3 linked regions of the Drosophila melanogaster genome follow. The protein of the gene in region 1 purifies or fractionates together with the protein of each later gene. This does not show direct contact. Each region holds a gene or a part of one and is shown in the gene's direction. Other genes may lie near its edges. The genes, in order: SIDL, brun and Trs33.

What was found.
Region 2: the proteins of SIDL (region 1) and brun purify together in Drosophila melanogaster (affinity purification with western blotting; one study listed by BioGRID). This does not show direct contact.
Region 3: the proteins of SIDL (region 1) and Trs33 purify together in Drosophila melanogaster (affinity purification with western blotting, with the first as the bait; one study listed by BioGRID). This does not show direct contact.

Annotation. Positions count from the first base shown.
Region 1 is NT_033777.3:15,213,739-15,220,836, reverse strand, and holds SIDL (shal interactor of Di-Leucine motif), read left to right. Parts: upstream 1-1,962; 5' UTR 1,963-2,059; coding exon 2,060-2,084; intron 2,085-2,137; coding exon 2,138-2,361; intron 2,362-2,418; coding exon 2,419-4,419; intron 4,420-4,478; coding exon 4,479-5,093; intron 5,094-5,155; coding exon 5,156-5,498; intron 5,499-5,746; coding exon 5,747-5,976; 3' UTR 5,977-6,075; downstream 6,076-7,098. Other genes in the region: CG12241 (uncharacterized protein), read right to left, coding at 1-707, 769-1,291, 1,361-1,426; CG4210 (uncharacterized protein), read right to left, coding at 6,090-6,411, 6,472-6,547, 6,616-6,667, 6,730-6,804. UniProt on the Drosophila melanogaster protein: May play a role in vesicular transport from endoplasmic reticulum to Golgi. Has a role in one of the several mechanisms underlying dendritic localization of Shal channels.
Region 2 is NT_033779.5:20,649,537-20,658,390, reverse strand, and holds brun (brunelleschi), read left to right. Parts: upstream 1-2,212; 5' UTR 2,213-2,606; coding exon 2,607-2,805; intron 2,806-2,868; coding exon 2,869-3,633; intron 3,634-3,687; coding exon 3,688-4,535; intron 4,536-4,594; coding exon 4,595-4,838; intron 4,839-4,892; coding exon 4,893-5,449; intron 5,450-5,505; coding exon 5,506-5,990; intron 5,991-6,052; coding exon 6,053-6,246; intron 6,247-6,305; coding exon 6,306-6,497; intron 6,498-6,557; coding exon 6,558-6,765; intron 6,766-6,830; coding exon 6,831-7,101; 3' UTR 7,102-7,636; downstream 7,637-8,854. Other genes in the region: CG2614 (uncharacterized protein), read right to left, coding at 1-179, 236-854, 916-1,123, 1,182-1,418, 1,561-1,683, 1,790-1,881; CG2611 (uncharacterized protein), read right to left, coding at 7,666-7,854, 7,931-8,140; CG18810 (uncharacterized protein), read right to left, coding at 8,452-8,854. UniProt on the Drosophila melanogaster protein: Cooperates with Rab11 and fwd/PI4K to mediate the flow of membrane through the Golgi, which is required to support cleavage furrow ingression, therefore promoting cytokinesis in male meiotic cells.
Region 3 is NT_033777.3:15,349,497-15,353,445, reverse strand, and holds Trs33 (TRAPP subunit 33), read left to right. Parts: upstream 1-2,450; 5' UTR 2,451-2,525; coding exon 2,526-2,594; intron 2,595-2,662; coding exon 2,663-3,052; 3' UTR 3,053-3,101; downstream 3,102-3,949. Other genes in the region: Tmtc4 (transmembrane O-mannosyltransferase targeting cadherins 4), read right to left, coding at 1-2,095; CG42727 (uncharacterized protein), read right to left, coding at 3,108-3,743; CG42726 (uncharacterized protein), read right to left, coding at 3,943-3,949.

The DNA of each region.
Region 1 (7,098 bases):
TCCTTGATCCGCCATGAGATAGGCCAGGTGACGACGACGATGGGTATCGATTACCGTCTGGCTAAGTGATCCGCCCACCTCCAGGGCTTGGCGAAAGAGCACTTCGACATCAGTGACCTCGCCGGGAATGTCGGACAGTGAATTGAAAATCTGTGCTGAGTTCTCGAGATGCTTTAGATCTTGCTCCTTCACCTTGAGCATGCCCAGAGTCAACTGGAACAGCACGATGGAGCCCTCGTAAAAGAACCAGTCCCAGATACGCACAAGAATCTTCATATGCACCACGTTGGCAAAAAGCGTGAGGAACCAATGCAGCGTGATTAAAGACAGCTCGATGTCGTGCTTACGCAAGGACTCGTCCACGCTGCTCAGGTAGTTGGCAATAAGCGTGTGCATCACGCGTTGGTCGGCTTGAATTCCCAGAAGAGTTGAGCTGTAGTAGGAAGCTGGCAGCAGATCCTCTACAATGGTGGCCATCATCCAAAAGGCGTTCTCCTCCTCCATGAAGAGAAGCAGACAGGCAACGATCACTCCGGTGCCCTGACAGTAGCCAATGTCAGGAAAAAGCCACGCGATGCCCCTCAGAATGCGGCGCAATCGGGGAATGCCTGTCCCATTCGGATTGCTAAAGCAGGCATTTGTTGGCAGGATGCGCAAAAGGTCCTTCTCGATCTGCTTCGAAGTCATCAGCTGGTCATTGCTAGAAGCTATCAAATTAGGTGTATATTAATAATGTATTTATAACCTTTCTTGTCGCGTTCGATCTACCTTTAACTATATCGTGGTAGCTGGTCTCGCTCTTTTGCTTCTTGGCCAACGCTCCTGATAGACGCATCCACATCTGGGCACGCAACGTGTGCGGGATACCCTGACGGACCATATTGCGCAGCTTTTCTGTGCGTGGGAGCATTACATCCACATGCTCCCAGCTCAGCTCGGCAGCCTCCTTGTTGTGTGAGAACTCCAGGTGGGCGATCCACTGCAATCGCTGCTGCGCGTCCTCTACAAAGGGTATGCTCAGCAATTTGTTGGAGCTCTGCTCCGGACCGTCCTCCTCCTCCACCCGGAAGCCAAATTCGTCAAAACGGTACTCCGGCTGGTCGTTTGGGCCGGAAGCCAATTCCGCGCCACCGCCCAGCTTGGCTAGGATTTCCTGTGGCCACATGGAGGCGGTAAGAGCGGAGAATGGCCCACCGGGATTTGGTCGCAGGCCATCGGCCACACTTAGTTCCTCCATCATAGGCGGCAGCTCTCCCAGATCGTCTTCCGAGCCCAGGTTCTGCAGTTTGCGCTGTTGGCAGTGGAACGATAAATATTAATTACCATGATAAGCAATCTTTTCTGGTCAATTTAGACGCACCGTATGCTCTTCACGGCCCACGTAACCCTCATGGTCGCGGCCAAAAATGCTCCTGGCCATGTCCATGCTGGGGCTGGCTAATTTCCAGTCGAGACCTGGCCGCGCATTCAGTGAAAGTTTCTCTTAAGTGTCTCTTTGTGGCGTGTGAAAAACAAATATTATTTCTTCATTGTTTCGTTTTCAATTAGCTACCGAATCTGATTTCACTATCAGCTGTTCGATAGGCGACTGTGGGTGGTATCGATTTTTAGCCAAGCCATAAAAAACTGAGGTGTGGTGCAAAAGGGATATACCCCTCATATACCCCTTAACAAATTTAAGTGAAAACATTTTTTGTTAATATTTTTTAATAAAAGAAGGCTTTCTCTACCAATTAAAAACCATTTAGTTTGGTTCATCTAACCATATTTTATTCTGCATATCCTTCTACTTTTTCTCTACGCCCTTGACCAGGGCTGCTGAAAGCACACCTGTTGAGCGAATAGTTAAAGCTGCTTAATTAGATTATTAATTTCTTGTATTAGGCTAGCATTTAATGGTTCATTGCATTAGGAATTAAAATATTTTTTAAATTGGTCAACCGATTATTGATAGCAACGAACAATCGATTCCCCCGCCCTCGCCTTATCAGCTGTTTGGTTGAGATTGTTGTGTGGCTTTCGTTTGCCAAATGAAAAACATACGAAATTTACAAAAACAATGCAGATAAAGCCCATAATAACATGTGAGTTGTAAAAAATTAACACAATAAATCCCATATCAAACCTTTACTTACAGACTCTGGCTCGTGCCCGCTGTTCCGATCGCTGGAGTCCCAGATCCTGAACGCGATTCCACTGGACACTTGCGAGTGGCGACGCACTTTCCAACGCCCCACGAAACATGTTCGCTTGGAAGCCCAGGCACAGCAGTTCAATGTTGCGGCCTTGGAGAAGTACAAGCAGGGTGACTGGAGCATCTTGGAGCACCCCATACTGCACATTTTCGTCACCGAGTGCAATGTGAGTTAACTGATCCTGTAGGAATCTCTAAATCCACCTCCATTAACTATCTTTCAGGATGTGGACACCTACAAAGCCACGATCAGGGAGGCAATCGACATTTGGTTAAAAACATTAACCAGTTATGGCGTCTCGGATTGGATGATTCTGTTGGTCGAAACACTGGACATGCGGAAGACAAAGAACTTCATGCCACGCACCACTGTGCTAGATAAGATACGGTTGGATTTTGGCACGAAGAACGACGACCGCTGCATCTCAGTTCTGAACCCGGCCAAGTTTGAACAGAAATCCACCGAGTCCTTCCGCTGCCTAGTGCAGCGTATTCGCTTCCTTATGCTCACCAGCTACAATCGGAACATAGTTAAGTACGAGGAACTAATACGGAGCAAGCGCGAAAAGAGAAACATTGAAGGCTGGGATTTCCGCCAATACTTCTTTATGCAGGAAGACCTTGCGTTGATCTTTGAAAAGCTGGAATTGCCCACCGAGGCGTTGATACAGTACGATGAACTGGACGCCATGTTCTCGCAGTTCATAACTCACACTGGTCTCAACGAGAAGCAGCAGTGGTTGAACCATTTTCGCAAGCCCCTGGACGCTTTCCATGGTATATGTCTGACCCGAGCGGACAAGTTCGAAATGAGGAACAAAATCCGCGATGAAGGCGTTTCTCTGTTGGAATTCCGCAACTATCTTTTCGAACGTCAAGCCTATTTGCTGCTTACTTGCAATGACATCCCAGAAATCGCGAAGAGGCTTCTGAACTTTTTGTTTTCCACACTGCGCGAGGTGGAGCTCATAAAGCTGGAGTGTCAGGAGGGCGCTCTTTGCTGTTGGGAGTTTGTTTGTGCTCTGGAAGTCCTGCAGCTGTGCGAACAGGCTATGGAACCCAACGAGCTAACATGTTTCCAGCACTGTGCTCCCATCTGGAACTTGGCCAAGGATAAGCTCTACGAGCTCGGCAAACTGTGTGGCCTCTTGCCCGGCTGCACGCCAACTTCGGAGCAGTTGCACATAGTGGTGCAGCTATCGTCGGGAATTGGAGATGCGCCGTCCGAGCAGCATCAGTTCCTCCAGGCGACACCTCAGCTACGAGACCGGTCTCCCAATCGTAAGCCCAAGAAATCGGGGGCTGAGCAGCTTAAGGAAGCCCTGGGCTCGAATCAAGCCTTCCAGAAGCTCTACCTGGAGCTGGCAGAGTTGGCCATCAGTACGTACAAGCATGTGACACGCTTGCGATCGGCCCGTTTGGTTGGCCTGGACCTGGGAAACTTCTACTGCGCTCTAAATGAGCCACATAAAGCTGTTGGATTCTTTACGGATCTTCTCAGGGAGCTGAAGGCAGAGAACTGGCACATGCTGAGCTCGCAGACGCTGCTTGAACTAGCTAACTGCTACCGCAAGATGGGCGACTCGCTGGCCTACACCAAGACATGTAGCTCCATCTCGTGTTGCGCAGAACTAGAGACCTTAGTGCGAACATTTTATTTCGACGAGTTTCTCAAGTCACTGAAAACACTTAAGACGACGCTTTCGGCACAGCCGTCGATAGAGAATGCCAACTATTGTGTACTGGAGGATCACTTTCGCATTCTGGACATCGAGGTTGTTAACCAGAAACCTATTATACAGGATGATTATATTCTAGTGCAGCTAAAAGTAGAAAGTCTCTATCCGCGCGGGGTCGTAGCTGAAAATGTTAAGCTTTGTTACGAATTGGAAGCTTCCTCTCTGGAGCTGGCCATGGAGAATGTCAGCCTAACTGCCTCCCCGTCGACGGTAAAGGCCAAGGACACCTCATCACGATTAAAGGTCTCGCTTCAGCTAGTCTACAAACAGGACAATCGCCTGCACTCTGCCGCTGTGGCCTGCGACTTGCCAAAAAGCAAGCAACCCGTGCGACGAACAAGCAGCACCAAGCGCAAACTTTCACCAAGTGTCCAGGCGGACTTCACCAATTTTGTTCAAGCGGAAAACATTGCCCTTCAGCCGGGCGTAAACCTAATTGAGATGAAGGCAAAGGCCACTCGAGTGGGCTGCTGGCAATTCAAACAGGTGGGTGATCACGTTGCATCAGTTTTCTTGGCCTATCTTCAATCGTTTTTGTTTTTAAGCTATGTATTAGCATGTCCAGCCTGGAGTTCTTGTCGGAACAGCTGCCATTTATGCCTGCCACCTTTGAGATTAGCACCAAGCCGGCAAGTGCCACGCTGGAATTCAAGACTCTGATAGCTGGCATAGTGCAGCCGATTAGCCTAAATGTCTCCGGTGGCAGTTTCATCTTTCCGCCCGATGCAAAAATCACACTGCGTTGCTCCAAGAATCTTCGCATTCGACAGGCGCGAAATACGGATGATGAAGCAGCCTATAATGATGACCAATCATTTGAGAGTACGCTTCAAGTGCCACTAGTGCAATTCAAATCGTTCGAGGAACGTAGGATCCCACTGGAGGTTCTCACTGATATGCCGGGCCGAAAGGTGTCTAAACACCATGAGCATCACATCGCCCTCAATTGTCCATGGTCTCGAACTGAGCTCCCAATCGCCGTCGATTTTCAACCAGCCATGGAGGCCACTTGCCGGCTTCACACGTGTGGCACTCAGAAGTTCCTGCAGGTGATCATGAAGGGCATGGAAGCACATCTCCTTTTGCAGCACGCTCAAGTCAAGTGCGATGTGCCCGGTGTGCAATTGTTGGATCTTAATCCGGAATCCCAGCAGCCCATTGTAACTAAATAGCAATGTAATTTAATATCTAAAATTGCTGATCTCCTGAGCTCGTCTTCTAGGAAATCTACAAATCCCTGACTGTAACTTATCTGTACGAGATTCAAGTTGAGCCCCTCAAAACGGAGCACGAGCTGCCCGTCGTAAAAGTGCATTTTGTAATCAAATACGCATCACTGTCGCAGCCTGATGTGTGGAGAACGTATGGCTGCGCTTTTGATCTGGTGGACTACACAACGCTCTTTAAGTTGCAGGCGCAGCTGGAACCCAATGAACTGTGCCGTCTGCGCACCGTGTGCAACATGAACTTGAAGATCACCAAGGTGCATGAGAATCCCTACACGGATCTCATGTACGAGGTGCTCAACGATCAGAATCTGTGGGCCGTTTGCGGTCGCTCAGCGGGTAAGTTGGATTCTCTTTACTACTCTCTCTCTTTCTTTGCTTATGATTTAATTCTGTTTCTCTACACACGATTCACTTTTGCATTTTAAGATATGGGTAAGTTCCTTGGAATAGGACACACGTAGCACTAACTAGATTTGCCCTTGCTTTTGATTGGAAACATTTAACACTGAAAAAGAAAATTGGCTTACTTCGATGAACCAACAGTCTGTACTTGTTGACTAACTAATTTTTACTTAACCTTTTAGGTGTCGTATCCATGAAGGACGTCGACAGTCATTCCATATCGCTGGATGTAATGCCGCTGAGCACCGGCTTTCTACCAATGCCCAGCATTCGATTATCCAAGTATACTGCCGGTGGCAAAAGTAAAACCGATGGCCACTCCAAGGTGCATCCCTTTCCGCCCGGTCAAGTCTACAACTCCACGAAGAGCATGCAGATCCATGTCATCGCAAGTGTGGCGGGGGATCAATGAGAAGCCAAACGAATTAATTGCAATGTACTCATAGCACATATGGCCCATGGCCAAGTATTATTAATTATTTATCGCCCTACTATAAAGTAGTAAAAATTGAAAATCAAATCAAGTTAAGATTTTTTTGCCCTCAGATCCGCGGCCAATTTGGCCAGTTGTTGCTCCTCCACGCGGTAGTAGTGCCAGCCCTCTTTATCTGTCAAATCCACGGCACCAAGACTTTCGTAGAACTTGCGTGCAGGATTCCATTCCAGTACATTAAACTCCAGGCGAGGGCACTGAAGCTCTACAGCCCGCGATGCAACCTCCAAGAAGATTCGCTTTCCGGCGCCGCGTTTACGGTGCTCGGGGCGGACATAGATGTCCTCGACGAAGAAGTACCGTCCCTGCCACGTTGAGTATGCCTTGTAGCAAATGGAGTACCCAATCGCCTGACTAGAATAGGAGAACAAGCCCACAAGTTAATCAGGTCATGCCAAGAACTACAGCACTTACTCAGTATCGTTGTCTACAAGCACATAGACTTCACAATACTCCTGGCCACCAGTGAGTCCTGCGTCTCGTTTAAGATCTGTCATATTACAATCCATTACTTTACCATTATTTCATTACTATGGTAAGGGTTTCGCCATCTCTTACCTTCCTCTGTTAGCTGGGGACCATTGCTCATCTTCTCAAAGTCAGCCAGTTCCTGCAGATCAATTCAAAAGTATCTCAAATTGGTATTAAAATAGGAATCTTATAAAACTCAACTTGAATCATGGAGAGCACATCTTTAATATCTTCAGCTAGAGCACGCCGGAATGTAAACTCTCCGGATTTCGACATAGTGGGAAATCTTTATAACCTGTGTTTTTCTGATTATGGTCAAAAGAGCTTATCTTTTGTCGAAACAATTCTAATCTATAGAGATGAGCCGAACTCTCGTGATCACAATTTAATATAACTCAATATCGATTGGGAAAAGAATTATTTGTTGTTAATAAGTAAAAAAATTAGATGAAACAAGAATAAGCCCAGATTCTTGTATATATACGATTCACATTTGAAATAATTTTATTTCAATGCACTTATCGCCATAAAATTAGATTATTTAATACTCTTCTTTACTCATTAGAATTA
Region 2 (8,854 bases), on another chromosome or scaffold:
AAGAAAGCTGCACAGACCGCCGCCTCCCAAGCCGACGACGAGAACATCCTTTTCCACATCTCTTTTGGGATGCTGCACCGTTGTGGCCAGTTGGACACCCACGGACATGTACAAATGATGCTGGCAGGCTAGGTAGCCGAAGTCAATCTTCTTTCGATCCTTTTTGCCTTTGATTTTGACTACAACATAATTTGTGCTTGAACAAAACGGCAAAATGATAGTAAGATATATTTACCTGTTTTAACTAAGGCTTCCGATTGCACAACAAACTGATTGCTGAGAAAAATAAGGCGTCGCAGGGTCTTGCCATTGGCCTCCACTTCCTCGATGCGGAAATCTCCAGATATCTTAGAGAACCCACAAATAAGAGTCTCCCTTTTGCCCACATCGGATCCAAGACTTAGATACGGTATCTGATCAGTGAGTCCAGCTGGCGATAGGTTCTTTATGCTGTCGGCCAACTCTTGCTTCACTTCGTCTAAGGTACTGTAAACCTGATCTCTATGAAGGGTAACCACAGCCAGTCGTTGGAAGTTGGCGGAGTCCTGGAGCTTTTTCCGGCCCGCAGGCGTGGAAAAAATCCACTCCACCTCTCTTCCCTGAGGAACGATAAACGCCGCGTATTTGCCCAGGCCGCGAGCTGGCGGCTTATCCAGTATGTGGATAGTATAGCGAGGGGTTTGCTCAGATGGTCGGTGCAGATCCATGATCACCTCATTGTGACCAGCTATGTTGGATCTGGCTAGACCGTTGCAAACCAAAGCGGCCTTTTGGACTGATGAAACTGCGCTATTCAGTTCGGAGACCGTGGTGAATCTTTGCATCTTGTCGTTGCCGAAACCAAATTCGAGTACCTACAAGTAAATCAAATTGTAATCTGAATGCAAAAAGTTAATTGCCTAGGGGTCTACTCACTGGCATTGGAAGGCTCTTAAATTTAGTAGCGACGACTACGAAAACAGGCAGCGTCAAGGCATCATCGGCATTCTTCTCTTTGTTGGCCTGTTCCACCCCCAAGCAGTGAACAATCCTCAGCATGCAATTGTGCTTGGGCAGGAAGTCCAGTAGGAAATTGAGGATGTGCTCTTGCAGCAGGGAGATACCCACATAGCGACCACCGTTCCTGATGCATAAATAGAGACATTGAATACCTTCGATCTGGGACTGTGCACATTACCCACCTCATGGTTCTTAGTATTTCCTTGAAATAGTTTTCCACCACCGCTCTCGTTTCAGGTTCGTCGTCGGCAAACAGAGCATCCAGCGTTCCCTTGTCCAACGACACCGAAAAGCTTTCATCCGGGAACGTCATTGCTGTCGCGTCCATTTGCAGAAACTTCATTTCCGGCCGCGATTTGGCATTCAGTTCCAGCATTTTCTTCACAGCGATGGGAGATATATCTATGTTTGTGATATCCCTAAGGGGAAAATGTAAAATACCAAGGGAAAGTTATTTATAGGGCCAAGATCAAGATCTAATACATATTGGAAAGGAATGTTATATGTAAGGAGGAGGCGCATGCTACTTATACATAAAGCTTATTACAGAAGATTCCTTACCGAAATCCTGTGTCGTACATATCCATGCTCAATTTGGAGTTACCGCATCCCAGCATCAAAATCCTATCCGCCGGCTTGATGTATTTGTGGATCTGGTCGCACAACTCCAGGTATTCGCCGTACCTTCGCAGTTAAAGCAACTTTTAGTTGGCCAAGAAAACACATGTTGCTCGGAGTTCTTCCCTTCCCCAAGAAGTCTGCTCGAGCTTAGTGGGTACCATTTACGTACCATTCGAAGGCCTTCTCACCGCGCTTCTTGAAGAATTCGTTCCAGTAATCGGTCTGTGCGAACTCCTCGCGGGTTTTGGGCAGTAAATTCATGGTTTCAACAACTACAAAAAGGATGCAAAATATAAACAATAAAGCGGCAAAATGTGATTGTACGGGGCATTGCCATTCTAGTGGATGGTCCCTCAGCAGTGTGGCCGGAGCCAAAAAGTATCGATAAGTTAGAGGCGGATCATTTGCAAAATATTCAATAGCTTATTTCGCTAAATGTAATACTAAAAGTAATACAATTAAAGTTTTTTTAAGTAGCACTATAAGAAACTTGGTTTTCCATTTTATATTTGTACAAATATTTTATCTGATTGTCAACACCATCGATTAGATTAGTGTGACCTTTCTGCCGTCAATCTGTGCGATGTGCCATTCACAGCGACTAGTCGACAGGCACTGATTGGACAATTTCTTTGCCAAAGCAAACGGCTAAACGATTATCTGCGCTTAAAAAGCCATTTAGTCATTTATTTCCTGGGGTTTTCGACTTCCTCCGAGTACCCGGCATCGGTACCCATGTGAAGGAGTGCAGCGGATTCGGAAACAGCCGAGAAACCAGGCAAAAAGCGTGGTGAAAGCAGGCGCTGACTGACCTCGAAAAGGGGGAGGAGGTGGCTCCTCTGAAGAAATCGAATCCAATCGAGAGCTTATCCACTTGACAGCGGTATGGAACGCCTGTGAAGAACTTGGCAGATGCAAAGGAAACTGGCGCTCGCATCCTCCGGACTGGGACAGGGATTGGATTTGAGAGCCGCGGCGCGGTGTAAATGCGTGCGGCCGTTGGCCTGATGCTGTCGCACGGTGCTGGTGGCATGGAGCCAGCGTTGTCACGCCCAGACTACGAGCAGAGCGCCCTGCACCACAGCTGCCTGCTGGTGCTGCTCCGCGGCGTGGGTCCATCGCGCGCTCGCGTCCTTCAGCGGGCGTTTGAGAAAGTGCGACGTGTCAATCACATCCGGGTCAATGGTGTGTGTTGCTCCAGCTCTCTTGCTATCTTTTTGATTACAAATAATTCAATCTGCCTTACAGACTCCTCTGGACATCCCCGCTCTATTTGGATCCGCTTCGTTCACGATCATCCTGTGGAGCACAACGATTGGGGCGACTTTCAGACCCATCGCCGACTGCTGGGACTTGTCACCATTGGCAAATTCGATAGCCAAATCGAGCTCAATGAGCTGTGCCGTCAGCACGAGTCCTTAAAAGTTCGCTACGGGTCTACTCTGTACGAGTCCCGTGCAATTTTCTTTGGGCCCGATGAGCAGCCACTGGAAACCATTGGGGAGGTGCTGGGACCACCGGCAGCTGGTGGACGACGCCTTCAAGATGAATTCACAACGCCATCGAACTTCAAAGCGCAGGCCTTTTTCTATCGCGAACAGGATTCGTGTGCCGATCTCGAATCTCGAATTGGGGACTTTGCTAGCGCGTTGTTTTGGGTCCTGGAATCACGACGGTTAGAGCGATCTCGCGAGAAGGCGGACAAGGTGAGCCTGTTGCTGGCACCCTTTGAAAAGCGAGACTTTGTGGGCCTGGACATGGAGTCGAGGAACAATAGGAAAAGATGCGTGGGTCGTGTGATGAAGAACCTGGCAGATCTATCGCTGCAAGCTGGCCTGGTTGACGACGCCTTGAGTCTGTACCACAATGCCAATGAGACTTTGAGGTCGGTAGGTGATTCCCTTTGGGTTGGGGCAACCGAAGAGGGCTTGTGTGCCGCTTCCGCAATGCTGTTGTATCCCCAAATGCGAGAAACCGAAACGCTGCATAGAAACTCGTCGCTTCAGGAGGCGGGTGAGTACCAAAAACCTAATTGAATATGCCTTACTTATTCCTCATCCTTGCCAGGCACCTCTCCCCTAAAAAACACCCCTGAAAAGTGGCGTGCTAGCGACGCCACCAAGAAGATTAGCGCCAGTGACGCGACCGCGAACAATGTGGATTCCAACCAGCCTCAGCAGCGCGTAACCTCGAACTCATCTTCCTGCTCATCCGTGTCTTCCCTGGTGACAACGGCCACCAATTCCTCCGCCTCGGACACGCCAACTACATCATCTTCCTCCACTTCGACGATATCGGCAGCACCGATACCAGGACACCAGAGGAACGGCGATCTGCCGGGCAACATCCTCAAGGCGGAGGAGATCAGCAACTACTATCGCAAGGCCATCATTAACTACAGCAAGTACAGGCATGCAGCCACTATAGAGACGGAGGCGGCACTGAAGGCCTCGCGGATTTGCATCGAGCAGAATCGTCCCCTGGACGTGGCCATGTTTTTGCAGAATATACTCTACATAAACCTGAGCATGAGCGAAGCCGAGCGGGTAAAGAGATTCGAGGTCATTACGGATCTTTACCAGCAGATCGGATACCAAAGGAAGGCGGCATTTTTCCAAAGACTCGCTGCACTCAAGCACGTTCAGCAGGGCAGCCAAGCGCCGGACTGGAACCAAAGTTACCGCCTCATGTTGGGCAGTTTTACGGGGTACCGGCTTTGTCTCGACCCCTTGGAAGTAATAGAAAATGCCGCCGGCTGGCCGGCGTTGCAAATCGATCTGGTCCAGACCCTTATAACTGCCGCCAGGCGTTTGGGACACTCCGCTTTGGCCACGCGGCACATGACCTTTTTGCTGCAGACTCAGTGGGACAACATGTCGCCAACGGAGCAAAGCGAGATGGCTGTGCAACTGCAGGTAAGTTATCAAAATAAGATGCTAATTCATTCACACTAAAATCGGTACATTTTCTAAAGAATTTAAGCGCTCAGTGCGAGGGCTCTCCTGTGCCCTTGGTGCTGGAAAATGGCACTGTGATACCACCCGCCAATCTCACGGATCTGCCCTACTGTATCGATCTTCAGGTTAAAGATTTGCCCGCTCATTTGCGACCGCAAAGAATAAAGGTGGCCAAAGCGGACAGTGGGCCTTTCCTATTCACCCCCATACACTTTAATTCTGTCGACAGGAGGGATAAGAAAAAGGACAAAAATAAAATAGGTAAGATTTGGGGTTAAAATCTCTGCATACGTACATAACTAATTTTTATATTAGCTTTCCAGTGGGTGCAAAATGATCTTAGTGAAGTGACTGTGCGCCTGCGGAATCCCCTGCCCTTTGAGCTGCCCGTAACGGACATGAGATTGCTAACAAACGGCGTGGTGTTTGAGTCTTTGCCCCAGACTCTTGTACTACAGCCACATGTGCCCACGTATGTGGCGCTACATGGAACGCCAATTGAGACGGGGCAACTCGATCTGCAGGGCTACAGCACGCACACGCTCGGTGTGAAGTCCAACTGTCGGCTGAAGCACATGCGTGGTCGTAGCTTTCCGCCCAACTACGTGGTTGATGTTATCCCCGCCCTTCCTAGGATATCTGTGAAAACTTCGCTACCACAGACGGCGACGTTTAGCAACATGAACAGTGCGGATATCGTTGTGACCTCTGCCAGCTTAACGCTGTACAACGGAGAATCCTCCAGCTGCACAATAACTATTACCAATGAGAGCGCCACGCTGCCACTGGAGCACCTAGAGTTTAGCATCAACTCAAATGTGGAGCAGGAGCTGCAGCAGAAGATCTTCCGAATAGATGAAGAAGCCATCAAGGTAAGATTTATGATCTTATATTGAGTAAATGAATAATCAATGATTTTCCTTTGCAGGCCCATTTGCCAGTGCCTCCCCAGGGCACCATTGAAATCATAGTGGATGTTTTTGCCGAAGCGGACTTCGTTTGTCCTCAACCACCTGCTTCATTGCATTCTGCCGCTGCTCCTGGGGACTACGGTGCGTCGTCACTAACGCACTACTCGAGCGTGTCCACCTCTGGGCACGCCAGCTTACCCTCGAGAGTCGGTTCACCGCATCATCGTCGAAATGAGCCACAGAATTCCAGTTTCCGGTCGACCATTTCTGGCGGTCCACCATCGCTGGCTGCCTTAACCCTGCACCCTGGCGGCGGTGGAGGAGTAGGACCTTCCAGCCTTGGGTCACAATATAACCAGCACATAGAGGCGCAAGTTAGATTTAAGTACTCGGGCGGAGATGCTTTGACGGCGGGCTACTGTCGCCAATGTGCGGTGTCCTTTAATCTAGAACTTTTGCCTAGCGTACAGATTACAAGCTGGGATGTGCTTCCCGCAGAGGTGTAAGTGCAATCTTCTCGTTTTTCAAAGTAACTCCTTCTAACATTGTATATCAAATTTACAGAGCCTCCCAATTTTACCTGGTACTTGACATCTCCAACCTAACCGCTCAAGAGATGTCGCTCAACTATACGGACACCAAGAATATACTCATCGAGGCCAAAGAGAGCTGCCGAGTGCCCATACCCGTGGATCGGTGCTCCTTGGAGAAAGTGGTGGCTGCTCGGGCGGCCGAGGTAGCTGAGAATCTGGAGAGGGGTATGATGAATCCCGCTTAATATGAGCTCATTCACTATTTGTGCTTATCTTTTTACTAGAACTCTGCTTCCGGACGCAGCTGCTGTCGTTTAACGATGCTCTGAGTAAGCTCTGCTCAATTCATATAGCTGAAAGGGTGAAAATCAAGTGGCTGTTAACGGGGACGGACATTCAGGGAATCGCCTCACTGCGAGGAATAGTTCTCTCCCAGTCTATGGTGGATTTGACAGCTGTGTCGCCTTTGGAGTGGGGTGTGTTTGTTTAGAATCTTCCTTACCGACTTTGTAATGACAATTGTATTACACCTTTAGCTATCAGCTTTCAAGACACGCTCGTGCAGCCACACAATGAGATTGTATGCACGGTGGGACAGCGGTCGCTGCTAAGCATCCAGCTGGCCAATCAATCCCTGCAACCACTTAGAAATCTGGTGCTGAGCATTAAGTTCTATCAGGATTACCTGAACGGAATGGAAAATTACAATTTGGAGACACGCGTGGCCATTTCAGGACCAAATAGGTGAGAGCTGAAGAAAAATATTGAAACGAAGCAGTTAAATATTTAGACAATATCAACCCTCTTAGAATTGCAATACCACTACTGGAGAAGCAGGAGCAGAAAGAGCATACTTGCTCTGTGATATTCTTTACCCCCGGACGTTTCAAGGCCAGCATCGAATGCACCAGCAATCCGCAGAAGCAGTCGGAGCAGCCGTCGTCATTGCTAACCCGCTCCTGTCCGGCAGAAGCGGAGAGTGTCGGCCAATCGGTCATGTTCTCCTCCAGCTACGATGAGCAGCAGGCGCATGTGTGGAAGTTCATTCCGCCCATCGAGGTGACCGTCGTGGAGCAGTGAAATGTTACCTGTCGCTAGTTTAATTTCGTTACAATGTTTGTGTATGTATTGTGTATACACCCCATACTAATCCCCTACTCTTGTTAAAGTATTTGATTCCCACGCGCCCTGTTATATCCGTAAACACGAAAAGCAATTGTTTGTAAAGAATTCTTACCTACATAGATACAACATGTAACGCATAACACTGTATATAATTAAGCTGAAACACAAAGTTATACTGTGCCCCAAGCTTGATAGAGAAAATGGCCATAACATAAATCATATAACCTATAGTTCATGCCTGTAAAACATATACATATTTAAGCAAGCGATGCGCTATTTAAATAGATAGCCAATGTTCCGCGCACTAGAAGCCACGCCAAGCATTATACATTTTGATAACGAAGCTCGTGTTTAAAAAATATTTTTATACAATTACCGGGGCAATACACATGTATCATAATGAACTACATATTAAGATTGTTGCTAAAGAAATTATGCCAATGAAATGTGTGAATAACTGTAGTGTAAAAGCAATAAACTCTATTTGACGAAACATTTGGTGTCTTTGGTTTCTCCTTTTCAGCCGAGTCTTCGTATCTCGTCCATGGTGAATCCGTTGCGGTTGAGCATTATGCAGAAGAGCACGTACACATAGTAGCTTCCCGGGATGAAGGTCAGTGCCCCGATGATACCCAACGCCCACACCCGATCCGATCGCTCCCGGCTCGTGTCCGTCACCCAGTTTAAGGTGGCAAAGGCGATGCAAACCTGAAGACAAAGACATCAGATCAGAAGTTCGAAGGAACTGTGCATGTATGTGTGGGCACCAGTAATCACTACTCACAATGCCACCGATAAACAGCAAAAGAATGATAATAATGGTCTTCCAAGGCACTGGACCTGGCATCGCCGGTTCCGTCCACTGTTCATTAACGAATCCATCGGTCTCGCATTGGGACTCCACCACCTTGATGTACTCTCCGGAGCCTGCTGGCGCGGAACTCCTGCCCCCTCCATTTAGGCGGTGCCGCGACTCCGAATTGGTGGGCTCCATATGTGGTCTCTACCTACTGGCAGTTGATCTTGACCAGATGCCAATTTCAGACTAAACAAACAAGCATTTTGCGGCAAGTCAATGTTATCAGGAAAACAGCTGACGAGACTGCCAACCTGGGGAAAATCAGCAAGCACAGTAGAGACCAAATAAAACGAAACATACACATATCGCATAATAACACATCCTTAAATATTTAACTTTTTAATTTGGAAAGCTTTCTTGCATGCCTGAACTAATCAAATGAATTCGAATTTTTAATTTTTCATCGCACCGGTAATTTGGAAAACACAGAGAATGCATAAAATTATTTAGCCATCCTTGATGGTTGTTTCTGAGCACCAATCTGCCACACGTTCGTTGTCGGGATCCAGATCAAATCCGTCGTGGTCCAGCTGGCTGGGAACAAATCCGGAGATCCAGGTCCACTTCATTCGCCTGCCCAAGAACGTCTTGAAGTTTCGGCGCAGTTTTCGGTCAAAAGGAATGTTTTGAAGTTCAAAATCATAGCAAAAATAGCCACGAGACCACTGATCATAAGCCACATAGGTAGCTACGCATACCCCGATCCACAGCAGGACGAATACCAGAGTGAACACCAGCTCGTATATATCGGGCAACTTAAAGTAGATTATCCTGATAATAAGCGAGTTAAAATAGGCAGAGTTCGGTGCGGGATGTGTCAGCATAAAGAGCTGGTATCTGCCCCCATGC
Region 3 (3,949 bases), 140 kb from region 1:
CCCTTTCCAGGCGTTTTAAGAGCTTGCTGAGATTCTCCCGGGCTGTCGTTGCTCTAGCCGCACTAATACTTATTGCAGTCCGATAAGCCTCTATAGCCTCCTGCGTCTTGTCCCAGCGATGATAGAGAACTCCGAGATTCGTGTGGTACAATGTGTTGTGGGGCTCCAGCTCAATAACGCGCTTGTAGATCGCCTCCGCCTCCGTATAATGTTTTAATTTGCCAAGCACGTTTGCTCGAATGAAAAGGATACTGACATCGTTGGGTAGATGTTGGAGAGCCTGATTAGAGATGCGCAAGGCGTCATCCTGCAACCCCTTGTTGTCCAGCATTGTCAGAATGTTAGCCCAGGCTTTTGGCTGGCGGGGATTTAGTGCCACAGCATGCTGCCAATGATGAAGCGCTTCGGCGTAACGTTTCTGCTCCAGATACAGATTGCCCATGTTGTAGTAGCAGACGGCGAAATTGGCTCTGTACTTCAGGGCCTTCTCATAGCTGGCCAGAGCCTTGTCGTACTTTCCCTGAGCCGACTGCACAATGCCGAGATTCATCCAAGCCGCTGGAAATGCGGGATACGCCTGCAAAGCCAATCGAATGTATTCCTCGGCGGTGGATAGTTGACCGTGCTCCCGATACAGGTTGCCGAGGTTCATAAGAGCTGACTCATAGTTCGGATACAATTCAATGGCCCTGTGGTAGTGCTGAAAGGCTTTCGTATTGTTTCCCATATCAGTGGCCAGTCGGGCTATGTTATAGTGTACCTTGGCATTGTCAGGACACACCTGTAGCGCGGACTTGAACAACTGCTCCTCGTTAAGCCAGTCAGTAGCTCGCTGCCGAGTCCGTACCATCATAACCGAAAAGAGCAGCATTAAAAGAATCCGTAGAGCAGTGCGCCAGTGGGTGTTTTCCGTACTGCTGTCATACCAATATAAGAATCCATAGATGGACAGCAGGCAAAAGCCAATGGAGGGTACATAGAGCGTCCGTTCGGCAATCACGAATCCTACGCAAATGATTCCCGACGCGGGCAGGAACGGGACGATCATTAAACCCAGAGCTAACATCATTCCGGGCAGCCGTCGGAAGTTCATCAGAGCCACCAATACGATGGAGTAGAATCCGATGACGCCCTGCAGTCTCAGATCCCAGATGTTGGTCACCAACTTGACGCAACCCAATGCCCAGTCGTAGCATAGCCAGTGGGGGCACAGCATCAGCCAGATGTTCATGACCAGCAGATACTGCTGGGAGAGCCCACGGGTCAGCACGTGCTCATTGTGCGCAACGGGGTTGTCAACTTCCTTGAAGGTAGGCGTCTCAAAGTCCTGCCACCAAAGGCGAGCCGTCAGCAGACCCAAGGTACCCAGCAAGTAGAACAAGTAGCTGATCCGGGTGCGCAAAAGACTCCACTGATCCTTGAATCGCAGATGATAGTAGCCGTTTTGAAAGTAATCCAATAGTACACACGACATGGGGATGGTCACAGCGGACTCCTTGAACAGCATTCCCACAGCGGTGAGCAGCATGATTAGACCGCCAGTCTGTGGACCAAGTCTTCCGGTATTGGCCACGGTCAGCAGAAGACACAACAAGTGAATCATGCCGAACATGAGCTCGGCCCTTCCAACCACACCAGAAACCGCCTCTGTGTGAATTGGATGGGCGGCAAATAGAGCAGCGGAGAGGATGGCCCATCTTGCCGTGCTGACCTCCGGAACATAGAGAGAGCGAATCAATCGCCACATGAGCAGCGTGTTGACGCAGTGTAGCAGGAGGTTTAGGAACTTCATGTGGGCGGCACTTAGCCCCAGAAGGGCATACTCGCAATGGAACATCAGGGTGGTCAGTGGCCGAAATGATTTGTGGGAATCGGAACTGAGCAAGGAAGCACCCCAGAAGTCGTGCGTGAAGATCGCCGTCCAGTTGGTGGGCAGTGAGTTGACATCCCGGTTCTTGACGATGGCCACCGTATCATCGAAGACAAACTTCGCTCCACTGAGGCCACCGCATCCGTAGCATAGCAAACAGATTAACACTAGGATTGCCTGACAGACCATGCTATGCAGCGTGGCTTTGTGAACGAGGTCTAGCATACTGGATTATTTACTAATTGTCAATTGTTCAAGTTTAATTCACTTATTCTGCGAATTTTAATCGGAATTGTTTTGTATACATTTTTTGTTGTGTTTTTGTCCAAACACCCCCTCACTGAATAGTGATGCCAGATCAGCGATAGAAATGTGTGCAGCTTAGCTAAATATATGCATCGAAAAATATATGGTTATAAAATGATTTGAAATTACGCTAAATAGATCTATCAAATCTGCTCATTTTAGAGTATTCATATTAAAATAATTATACATACTCTTGATATTAAAGTATAAATAATAGTAATAACAATAAACCACTAAAAGCAAACAAGACATTCGCCCGTTAACGCTTGCAACAGCTGTTTAAATCTAGATCAAAACAAATCCGAGGAAAAATTTGTTGAACTCACAAAGAAAAATTAAATCCTCGAAAATGTCTGAAGAAATCCTTTTCGATTGCCTCCATGCAGAGATAGTCAATTATTGTCTGGATAGCAATAAGGTAGGAACACGAGGGACGCAAAAAAAAATCAGTCATACAACCGATTTTGATTTGGTTCCGCCTATTAGGAGCACGACCTGGCCACTTTGGAGTATATAGGCTTCACCACCGGCTACCGCCTGATTGAGCGGCTCACCCGTGAAGTTTCGCGTTTTAAGGACGAGTTGGAGACTATGAAGTTTATATGCACCGACTTCTGGATGCTTATATACAAGAAGCAAGTGGACAACCTGAGGACGAACAACCACGGAATGTACGTTGTGCAGGACAAGGCTTTCCGCTTTCTGACTCGCATCTCGCCGGGCACCAAGCAGCTGGAGCACGCGCCCAAGTTCGTGGCCTTCACGTGCGGGCTGGTGCGAGGAGCTCTCAGCAATCTAGGCATTAACAGCACCGTGACGGCCGAAGTGCAAAGCATACCCGCCTGCAAGTTTCACATAGAAGTGAACAGGAACTAATTAGGATGTAAGGCAATGGTTTATTACTACAATTATAGAGATACTACAGACTAGACTAGGCTATCTTTTCGTAGAATGCCACAATGTTGTGGTCAGTCCAGTTAAGGCGTTCTCGCAGGATCCACTGGTCGATGGGCAGTTGGGGCTGGGCGGGATTGGGATCTGTGTGGATTCCCAGGGCGGGCAATGGTCCAATCAATATAAGCCACTTTCCTTGATACACATTTAGATAGTCCAGAAAAGCTCCTCGATTGTTGAAGTAGCAGAAGAGCAAGGCACACGGATGAACGTCACTGCAGCATTTGGTCAATAAATCCGTATCCAGTTGGCTGGCATCCTCTAAATAGTTAAGCGGTATAAAACTTCGAACGGAGTACTTGCTCTGCCACCAGTTGCGATCGACCTCCAAGCCAAACATGGGGACTTTCCGACCTCCAGACACTGTCATAAGCCATTCCAAAAGCCCACTGCCGCAGCCGATGCTCAAAACTCGCTGGATGTCGTGCATGGCTAGCAGCTGATTAAAGTAGTCCAAGTCCACCGATGTCGGCCACATCCAGAGCAGCTTGCGCTTGAGCTGTTGGTCCAGGCAGTCGCCCAGGACAAGCAACTTGCGCCAGTTGCACGACGCATCATCAGTTAGGTAATAAATTTCACGCAGTGTCTCGAGTTCCGATTGCTCGTCCATCATATTGAATACTGTTAGTTGCAAATTAAGCGGTCTTGCTGCTTCCGATGGCCGGTGAACTTGGCAGTGACGCCGGCACGCGGAAATATGGCTAGCGGCCAACAAGATTGCTGCGGTTCGCTTCGGTTCGCAGCACCTGACTGATCTCTAATAAATTAGAGGACCCCTTTGAAAAAGGGCCAACTCATTAGAGATCATATCGTCACTTT